3 linked regions of the Mus musculus genome follow. The protein of the gene in region 2 interacts with the protein of the main gene of each other region in a pairwise test. Links are inferred from orthologs where the notes say so. Each region holds a gene or a part of one and is shown on either strand. Other genes may lie near its edges.

The links.
Region 1: the proteins of Fam161a (region 2) and Cep63 interact in binary tests that used the Homo sapiens proteins (3 or more experiments, as listed by UniProt). The two-hybrid records come from large-scale screens. The link is inferred for Mus musculus from reciprocal best matches to the Homo sapiens genes FAM161A and CEP63.
Region 3: the proteins of Fam161a (region 2) and Vps52 interact in binary tests that used the Homo sapiens proteins (3 or more experiments, as listed by UniProt). The link is inferred for Mus musculus from reciprocal best matches to the Homo sapiens genes FAM161A and VPS52.

Annotation. Positions count from the first base shown.
Region 1 is NC_000075.6:102,623,443-102,627,042, forward strand, and holds the start of Cep63 (centrosomal protein of 63 kDa), read right to left. Parts: upstream 2,683-3,600; 5' UTR 2,590-2,682; coding exon of another isoform or gene 2,540-2,589; coding exon 2,462-2,539; intron 2,456-2,461; exon of another isoform or gene 245-2,455; coding exon of another isoform or gene 152-244; coding exon 114-151; intron 1-113. UniProt on the Homo sapiens protein: Required for normal spindle assembly.
Region 2 is NC_000077.6:23,021,102-23,024,277, forward strand, and holds the end of Fam161a (protein FAM161A), read left to right. Parts: coding exon 1-32; intron 33-392; coding exon of another isoform or gene 393-560; exon of another isoform or gene 561-1,340; intron 1,341-2,328; coding exon 2,329-2,446; 3' UTR 2,447-2,641; downstream 2,642-3,176. UniProt on the Homo sapiens protein: Involved in ciliogenesis.
Region 3 is NC_000083.6:33,962,260-33,965,987, reverse strand, and holds part of Vps52 (vacuolar protein sorting-associated protein 52 homolog), read right to left. Parts: intron 3,573-3,728; exon of another isoform or gene 3,566-3,572; coding exon 3,442-3,565; coding exon of another isoform or gene 3,427-3,441; intron 3,263-3,426; coding exon 3,167-3,262; intron 3,079-3,166; coding exon 2,971-3,078; intron 2,811-2,970; coding exon 2,745-2,810; intron 708-2,744; coding exon 596-707; intron 328-595; coding exon 209-327; intron 30-208; coding exon 1-29. UniProt on the Homo sapiens protein: Acts as a component of the GARP complex that is involved in retrograde transport from early and late endosomes to the trans-Golgi network (TGN).

The sequences.
Region 1 (3,600 bases), on a different chromosome or scaffold from region 2:
GGTTGGTTGGTTTTTAAGATAAAGCCCTTGGGTTACTTTTGGAGGTTGCTACGTCACAGATTTAAACACATTCAAGTCTATCTGTTTGTTTTAAGGTGGAGCCCTTGGGTTACCTTTGGAGGTTGCTAGGCCACCAATTCATTGCTGTAGTCTGAAAAGAAAGGAACGGAGTTAAGCATTTTGCTTGCCATTCCTGTACAAACTGTACTTCAGGATAGTCAGCTGCGGAAGGCAAGTTCATCATAAGAGTGCCAGCTAAGCAGCACTGGGCACATGACGCCACTAGAAAGCACCACGGTGGCTCTCACTCAGTAATCGGCCCAGGCACTATTAGCCATGAAGAGCTCCCTATTGACCAAAGGCTCTTGGGCAATTTCATGGTGGCTCAACTGAGCAAACAGCACAGGAACCCCGACATACACAGCTTAATTCTAACATCCCTAGTGGGGTGACTCAGACATTACAAGTCTCCCTGACAATGAACGCAACAGATAATTTTTATAATATAAAACCTATACCTTTGAGTTTTCTTGTACCTGCCATCAAAAATCAAGGCTGAATCTAACACTGTATTTCAAAAGATCATTGTATTGCAACAGAACTTTCTGTAATTATGGAAACATCTTATCAGTATTAATCAGACAATAGCCACTAGGCAGCCTGTGTGTGCTGGGCATTTCCAATGTGGCTAATGCATCTGGGGAACCAAACAGTTCATTTAAAATGTCAGGGCTGGCTGATGACTGCCACACTGGATAGTGTAGTTCAAGATTTAGCCAGTGAAGGAGAGGTCATAGAAGAGGTAGAGGCATAAATTCAAAAATATATACAACCAGCTAAACCTGAGTGATAAAGAAACGGGAGGTAAGAACCTGCTTGGGGGGGGGGGAGAAATAGGGGATTTTCAGAGGGGAAACTAGGAAAGGGGATAACATTTGAAATGTAAATAAAGAAAATATCATATATACACATATAATACATGTATATAATATATATGTATATATATGAAAGAAAGAAATTGAGGGTTTTGATTATTGATTAGAGGGTTTTGAAGGCCTAGCAACCGAATGCAGCTGACAGTTCTCTGTAGGACTTTGGTCTACAAGTCTACAACTTTGGTATTACAAGCACATATGGAATAGCTGAAGAACCTGAACTCACCGGACACTGACACTGTGTGCTTTTTATAAATTTGTACTGATGTAAAAATAGTACTGTGGTTTTTGTAAAACTTAAAAAAGCAACTCTAGCCTTTGGCATGGGGAGCACCTTAAGCTATGACAGTGTGGACTAATGCTGTCACCATCAGCCACCACACAGTACAGGAAAGCCTAAGTAACCGGTCCCTACCGCTCCACGGGAGGAAGCAGCAGCAGCATGATTAACAATATCTCCATTGTTTCTGAAACTTCAGCATATACACATTTTAAAGGGACATGTGTCTGTGGTTTAAGTCTCTAACCCTCTTTAGTTTCGCAGCCTCCTTTACTATACTGACCACTGAGGACGACACAGTAAAAGACAGAGAGCACGGGACAAAAATTAACCTAAAAATGGCGCTGCATTCCAAATAAGATAATTCGTTTCATCATATCGTTAAGCTGCAGCCTTTAAGAATAAGTGTAAAAGCCGGGCGTGGTGGCGCACGCCTTTAATCCCAGCACTCGGGAGGCAGAGGCAGGCGGATTTCTGAGTTCGAGGACAGCCTGGTCTACAGAGTGAGTTCCAGAACAGCCAGGGCTACACAGAGAAACCCTGTCTCGAAAAACAAAACAAAAAAAAAAAGTGTAAAAAGCTAAAGATAACTATAGCCATTGATCTCTGACTTACATACAAAATATAAAATACAAATATTCGAGTTGTACAAAGAGCTATAATAAAGTAATACATTTTTGAAACTCTAAATTGGCCTCAAGAAAGCCAGGCGAGGTGGCGCGGATCCTTAATTAGGAGACATAGGTAGGCCCATCTCTGAGTTTGAGGCCAGCCTGGTCTACACTGCAAGTTCCAGATCATAGCTACAAAGGAGAGCCAGCGCTAGTTGGGGAGAATGGGGAGCACTTTTGGCAACAAGTCTACAGTCTGTAAATGAAAACTAGGTCTGACATCAGAATGCACTAACTCCACGATTTTGTAAAGGACAAAAGCCCATTCACTGTCAAGTGTCTCCGCGTGAAAGCGCTGTTGTGGAATTCCCCTTTCCAAACTTTCACTCCACCAATCTTGTTTCCTATGCTTGACTTGAAAGCGTGAAGCCATCTGCAATTCCCCTGCCATCAGGGGTTCCCGCCACATTTCCGCACCTCTCATACTAACATCACCAAGGAACCCTGCGGGCTTCCCGCTGGGCGGCTAACGCTAAGGCCTGGTCCTACACCGGCGGCAGCAGCAGCAGCCGGGTCCCTTCCCGGGAGCCATGCAGCCCACAGCCCGCAGCCCGCCCTCCCGCAGGCCGAAGCACCTGGCCGGCCAGCCCAGAGTCCCATAGGGAGGAGGAGGAACCCAGGGGCGCGACGACCGGGCAGCCGCAACCCGGCATTGGAAAGCCCCGCGGCAGGTGGGCCGCAACGAGCTGCGGCCGCGGGCCATGAGGCCTGGAGCCTAGCGGCACCACCGTGGCCAGGGCCGAGACCGCACCACAGTTAGCCGCAGCTCGCCCGTCTTTGGGGCATGCGGTCGGTTACAGAGCGCGCCCCCGGCAGAGCGCGCCTCCGGCGGAGCGCGCCCCCGGGCCTGCCCGCCGTTCCTCCGGCCGGGGATGCGCGCAAGTCACAACAAATCGCTGTCCGTCCCGCCCCCTGCCGCAGCGCTTGGACTCACCCACATCCGGGGCTTGAGAGCGCCGCGAGTCACGTGACCCAGAAGAAGGGCGGGGCCGGGAGGAAGCCGACGCGCGCGCAGTGGGTAAGGGTTTTTCGCGCCCGCGGCCCGGGTTTCCGAGGGTGGCCAAGCGTTCGCCCTCGAACTCCGGCGTCTACCGCTTCCAGAGGCGCGGGCCGGTACTTTCAACCGAGCTTCAGAGCCACTTCTTTACTGCACGCTGTGCGGAGTGGAACGGAGCCCCCATGGCGACGCTCGACCTCCCCCCTTGCACTTCCGCATGTAGTATCCTCCCACCCCTCGAACCGGAAGTCGCTGCAGCGGGTGACTGTAGTGTCCCAGGATGGTGGCCTCCGAGGGCCATTTTAGTGTAGGCGCCGTGCTCGTAGCTTAGAAATACATTTACAAAGCTGTGTGCATGAAAGGTGTGTATGTCTCATAGGACGTACGCATCTAATGTCTAGAAAGAGATATCCGGGCAATGTGACAAGCTTTCCTCCTGTTGTCACGTATTGTGCCCAGAGATCTAGGGGACTGGTGAAGGAATGGACCCTTGGGACTGCACTCAGCCTGGGGTCTAAAGGAAACAATCTGAGAGCTGAGAGTTTGATATTATCTGGTATCCGGAGCGGGGGAACTTTCTGTTTACGTAAAGGGTGAGCACCCGAGCACCTGACCCAGGAAAATAGATGTGTTTGGAAGGACGGCCAAGCATAAGTGATGAGGGACGGGGGTGGGTGAAAAGCGTGCTAGTTTCTAAGCATGTAGAAGAGAGTCATG
Region 2 (3,176 bases):
GCGTCTTCCCGAGGGCGGGAGCAAGCCATCAGGTAAGGCCTCAGGACGGTCACTCCCTGCCACATGGTTGCTGAACTGGCATAAAACCCTATGGGTTTTACCCTGGTAAATCTGGATTTACTAAATTATCTGGAAGGTATTGTATGACATGGTAGAAAATCGTTTGCTAAGAACGTTCTTCTAAGAGACAAATGTGATTTCCTTGGGGATGATAGGTAGATAAGCTTACACCATCAGCCTTGCTTGGATTTCCAAGGTCACAATTAAGATTTTGGTCAAAAGGTGGCTTTTTTTTTTTTCCAGCCTTTGAATTATGCCCTGTTAAGTCTTTGCTGGACAACTTCCTCCTTGGCTTAAAGTGCATTAATTAAGCCTTAGTTTGTTGCCCTCAGGAAATCCCTTGAGGAAAAGAAAATGTTGGAAGAAGAGAGAAATCGGATCCTAACTAAACAGAAGCAAAGAATGAAAGACTTGCAGAAACTGCTGGCAACCCGGGTTAAGGCTTATGGCTCCCACCAGAGCTTGTCTCAGATAGTTAAAGCCAGGGTGAAGGAGCTCAGGTACCACGGAAGAGCCTGGGAACGCCAACATCAGCTGCCAAACTCCCTTTCCTTCCCTTTCCTTTCCTTTCCTTCCCTTTCCTTTCCTTTCCTTTCCTTTCCTTTCCTTTCCTTTCCTTTCCTTTCCTTTCCTTTCCTTTCCTTTCCTTTCCTCCTGCTTAACTAGTGGATACCTAGATATGAAAATACTATGGCATCTTAATTTATGGATTTAAATAATCTTTGGCTGTTCCTACTCAACTGTTACATATATGCACACATATACATCTTATAATGACAGTCAGTGTATTTACTTACCTCCATAGCGAGAACCATGAGACCATGTGGAACAGAAATGGCTTTGTTATGGTCATAGTTAGTAATTGCTTAAAAACCAGCACAAAACCTTATTTATGCAAGTGTGTTCTTATTTATAAATTATGTAAATATTTGGCATATATACATGCATTGCATACATACATTATACATACATACATATGTACATTATACATCTGGTGCTGGGGGCTGGGCATGTGAGGACCAAAGCCAGGATCTTGTACACAGACTGGCTGATCTGGATAAGTCAGGGAGTTCTGTTCGAAGTTTGTACCAAATACAACAGTTTGAGTGGATGCATGGTGGGTACATGCTGCCCCTCATGACTGATAGCAGCCACAGAACACCTACAGTCCTTTACAGAATACTACTAGAATTCTATAAAGCAGAGTCTGAAAACCAGCATTCCAAACATTGCACATAAAAATGGTCATGCTTAAGCAAGAAAAGGCCCTCCAAAGCTGGGTAAGTAATATGACTTATTAACTTTTAAGATCCAAATACGTACATCTATTTTATCACTGAGCCTTCCTTTACAGTATAGGATCAGCCCACTAATAGAGCCGAGTTTGATGAACTTGAGCAAAAAATTCCTTAGGAATACAGTATTTGCCTGTAGGAAGTTGAATACCAACTTACTTTGAGTAAGCATAATTTTTGTAAAGTATAATTATTTTCCGTACCCATGAAACTCTCTTGTCTTGGTTGCTTCTAGTATATCTTATACAGAGGAAAACAAAACAAAACAAAACAAAACAAAACAAAACAAAAAAACAGTGAAGTTTAATTCATTGTGGGATCTGGTCCAGAGGATGAGCACAGCGAGGTTCATGCTTTTGGCTCTGCCCTCAGTTGCTACATTCTCATGAGCCCCACTTTCTCTCTTACCTACTCCCACTTAATTAATGTTGCCACTGCCCACTAGGTGATCTCATTTAGGGAAAGAAGAAAAGCAGGGTCTTTTTATTTTGGTGTTTGAAACAAGGTTTCTCTGTGTACCCTGGGCTGCCCTAAGAACTAGCTCTGTAGGCCAGGCTCGTCCCACACTGGGATATCTGCCTGCTTCTGCCCCAGAGTTTTGGGACTAAAGGTTTGTGCCACAACTGACCAGTTTCAGGGTCTTGTTTTTGAAAGAATATTTTTTAAGATACCCATTTGGACCAGACTTTCTTGCTTTTGTATACTTTTATATAAAACACTTTTTCAGGCAAGACTGAAGTCTTTTTGCCTTGAAGACTTTGGAAATCAAAATGACCAGACCATTCCCAGGGCAGTACACTGTGTTTCTTCAAAACCTGGGCTTTTTATTCTGGATTTATGAAAATCTTGCCAGTCTAGAAAAGGAACTGGGCTGAGCTGTGCTCTCACTTCCTGGTTTGTCTTCTGAGGTGAATGTCCTAGGAGAGCTTCCGTAGCTGACCTTTAAAATGCCACTCTCTTTATCTGGTTCTAGAAGGAGTGAAAAGGCCAGGATGAGAGAATATTGGCAAGAACTGGAGGAACAAGAGGAAAAACTGCAGAAGAGGCCGATGTTGTTTGAAAGAGTCACCCAGGTTGTGTTTATTGGTTAGGGCCATCACCAGCTTTCTGTTTCTCAGTACTTCTGGCCTCCACCTTTGTGCTCCGTCTTACGGTGTCCTACAGTTGCCAAGACATGATGTTTCTGGGGCGGCTTCATCCAGTCCACCAAGAAAGTAATTTCACTTAAGATGTGACAACGCTTGTAGCTCAATAAAGAACATGTCACTAACCCCATGTACCTCAAGACATTCCTGACACGGTTTGCTTTAGAGTCTGGTCTTTTTAGTCAGATTCTGTTGAGGCTTCGGGATATCATGGGGAGGTCTTTATGAATTCAACCACTGGGTGTATGACCATTGTATGCAACATAGTGAGACCGTCTCTTAAAAGCACTTTAAATTGGGTATTTCGTTAGTTACTTAGTTAGATTACTTGTGTGTGAGTGTTTTGTGTAGGCACCATGTGCATTTCTACCCACAGACATCAGAGGTATTGGATACCGTAGAACTATAGTTGTGAGCTACCATGTGAGTGCTGGGAATTGAACCTAAGCCCTCTATAGAAATAAGTGCTCTTAACTACTGAGCCATCTCAAGGCCTAAAAGCATTAAAAAACCAAAGCAAATCTCTCTGCTTCACCATCCTCCTTAGCACGGTCCTTCCTCCCGTGGAGGCCTTTCACTCCCAAGTTCAATGGTGATCTCAAGGGGGTCTCATGATTAACCTCCCCAGTCGTATTGCCTCAGGATGGGGGTGGGTAATCATATCACAGATGGAAAG
Region 3 (3,728 bases), on a different chromosome or scaffold from region 2:
TAGAGCTGGATCAGCTGGGTCAGCGCCCCCTGCACAGAGGAGAGTCAGGGTCAGACTCATGGTGACCTGAGCTGTCAGAGCTTCACCAGAATCTCAGGCACAGATGCTTGTTGGCCTTCAAGGCGTTTGTGTGATGCGGAGCCCAGGGGAAAGAGCGAGGAAATAGACAACCTTAGGACACAGGCAAAGGGTGGGAGTGGCCGGTCACCTGGATGATGCTGGTTCCATTTCGGAAGTTGGTAAAACTTCGCATTACATCCTGACTCAGGGACTCCACTGATGCCTTCCAGGAACTACCAAAGCCACGGATCAGCTGAGTGACTCGGGCTGACCGCCAGAGGAAAAGGTGTGTCAGAGAGCTCCAGGTCTGGTTACCGTCCACCAGGCACAGAGCAACCAGGGCTGGTGACCCAGCAAGGCCTGCCCTGGGCACATCTGTGCTCACCATCAAGCCTGGCTTTCTTGGTGTTCTTCCAGCCAAGTCTTCCTTGCTGCGTTGCCTCCCCTGTGACTCCCCACTCCCACCCCCCCACCCCCTCCACCCCCGCTCACTGTCCCTAATTCCCACTACCTACTGCACCAGGACATCAGATACCTTCCTCCCCTCGGAGCCGCTCAGCCTGCCCACGCTCAATCAAGGCTTCAGCCTCCTTCACGAATGCCACCAGACCCCCGAAGGGGGGAGACAGCAGCTCCTCAATGAACTCCTAGAGAGAAGTGCAAGCACACACAGGGTCAGACTCCTGGGAGCAAAGGACCCCCATTCTGCACAGGGACGTCTAATGACCCGCCAGACAGCAGTCTCTGTGAGCCTTCCACCTTAGGTGGTGATGTCACAAGTTGCAGGGGATGTCCCCAAGGGTTTTCTCCAGAACCAAGATCCAGTATGCTGGCTCATCAGGGAACAGTGCTTTCCACTGGTCCCCAGAACACAAGGTCGAAGAAGCAAGAAAAGAAGTTGTGACCTAGAAGTTGTGACCTCTGACCTCCATGAGCTTCAGATGTGCCTGTGTGAGCTTACATGTGCACACACACAAACAGTTCCCTGCAAAGCAGAATGCACATACACACAGGGCTATAGTGCATGCACACACACACATACACACAGGGCTATAGTACATGCACAAACACACAAACATACACACAGGGCTATAGTACATGCACAAACACACAAACATACAGAGCTATAGTGCACACACACACATACACACAGGGCTATAGTGCATGCACACACATGTGGGAAGCCGCCCCCACATTCGCCGTCACAAGATGGCGCTGACATCCTGTGTTCTAAGTTGGTAAACAAATAATCTGCGCATGAGCCAAGGGTATTTACGACTACTTGTACTCTGTTTTTCCCGTGAACGTCAGCTCGGCCATGGGCTGCAGCCAATCAGGGAGTGATGCGTCCTAGGCAATTGTTGTTCTCTTTAAAGAGGGAAGGGGGTTTCGTTTTCTCTCTCTCTTGCTTCTTACACTCTGGCCCCATAAAGATGTAAGCAATAAAGCTTTGCCGTAGAAGATTCTGGTTGTTGTGTTCTTCCTGGCCGGTCGTGAGAACGCGTCGAATAACACACACACACATACACACAGGGCTACAGTGCATGCACACACACACACATACACACAGGGCTATAGTGCACACACACACATACACACAGGGCTATCGTGCATGCACACACACACATACACACAGGGCTATAGTACATGCACAAACACACAAACATACACACAGGGCTATAGTACATGCACAAACACACAAACATACAGAGCTATAGTGCACACACACACATACACACAAGGCTATAGTGCACACATACACACATACACACAAGGCTATAGTGCATGCACACACACACACATACACATAGGGCTATAGTACATGCACACACACACATATACACAGGGCTACAGTGCATGCACACACACACACATACACACAGGGCTATAGTGCATGCACACACACACATACACACAGGGCTATAGTGCATGCACACACACACATACACACAGGGCTACAGTGCATGCACACACACACACATACACACAGGGCTATAGTGCATGCACCCACACACACATACACACAGAGCTATAGTGCACACACACACATACACACAGGGCTATAGTGCATGCACACACACACATACACACAGGGCTATAATACATGCACACACACACAAACATACACACAGAGGTATAGTGCACACACACACATACACACAGGGCTATAGTGCATGCACACACACACATACACACAGGGCTATAGTGCACATACACTCAGGGCTATAGTGCACACACACACATACACACAAGGCTATAGTGCACACACACATATACACAGGGCTATAGTACACACACACACACACACATATACAGGGCTATAGTGCGCACACATACACACAGGGCTATAGTGGATGCACACACATACACAAAAGGCTATAGTGCACACACACATACACACAGGGCTATAGTGCATGCACACACATACACACAGGGCTATAGTGCACACACACACACATACACACAGGGCTATAGTACATGCACACACATGCATACATACATGTAGCTATAGTACACACACATGCATACATAAATAGGTATAGTTCTATGTTGCTTCTAAACTATTAGTACCTTGAAAAAGTTAAATGAAATAGACTAGCAACAAGGCAGTGGGTTGTACTCATGACTGCACACAGAGGTCAGTCCAACAGCATCGCAGTCTTCCTGCTGCACCCAGGCCCTACCTGTGTCCGAGCATTGAGCAGCTGCTGGAAACTTTCCACCTCTTTGCTGTCATCAGCAGCCCGCTCCTAAGGAAGACAAGAGGAGTCAGGAGCTTGGGAACCTTCACTGTTGCCATCACTTCCCCTTCTTTCCATGATGTGGACACTGCCAGCATCCAGGGGTAAAGCGCTGAGCTCAGGCAGAGCTCACAAGCTGTAGGGACCCCCGTGGGAGGAGCAGCATTACCATCAGCACCCCGAGCATCATGTCATAGTTGTTGATCAGAAACACAAGCTGCTCCTTCCTGGAGGAGAACTCTGCAGCCACTCGGAGGACAAAATTCTCCACCTCCACCTGCACAAGCCAAATGAAAGCAGCAGGTTAGAAAGCAAGGACACAGGTCCCGTCCCTCTGCTGGCAAATATGTCCTGCCTAGCTATACCTGGAGCTGTCCCAGGAGCTGCAGCGTGCGTTCATTGGGGATCGTCTGGTTGATGCTGACAAGTGCAGAGGAGAACTCAGCATAGCGGCGTGTGATCTGGGAGCAAGAAGGGAAGGCTCACACCTGCCTGACTGGGAGATACAACCCTCAGATACCCCTGCAAGTTCTGTCACCAGTCAGAACAGATGTTGTCTGCCTAAGTTGACTCCTTCGGCAGTACCCACCCACCACTCAGTGTGACCACAGACCCCCTTATTAACCTTGCTCGCCCTTACATAGTGGGGCCGAGTGTCCAGTCCCCCAAGGCGCTGGGGGTCAGTGCTGCGGACACTCTGGACATTCATCTCCAGGATCAGCTCAAACCGAGGCCACAGCAAGGCAAGCACCTGCTCCCAGTACCTGCAGGCTTAATCAGAATCAAAGGTCAGCTGGCTGGGGGTGCAGTCTGCCCAGGGGAGTACAGCACGCTTCAGGGTGACAGTGAGTGGGTGTGCCTGATGCCAATGCTGCCCCTGGGACACATGAATGGGAATAAGGGTGAAGGGCATCAGGTGAGGGCCCA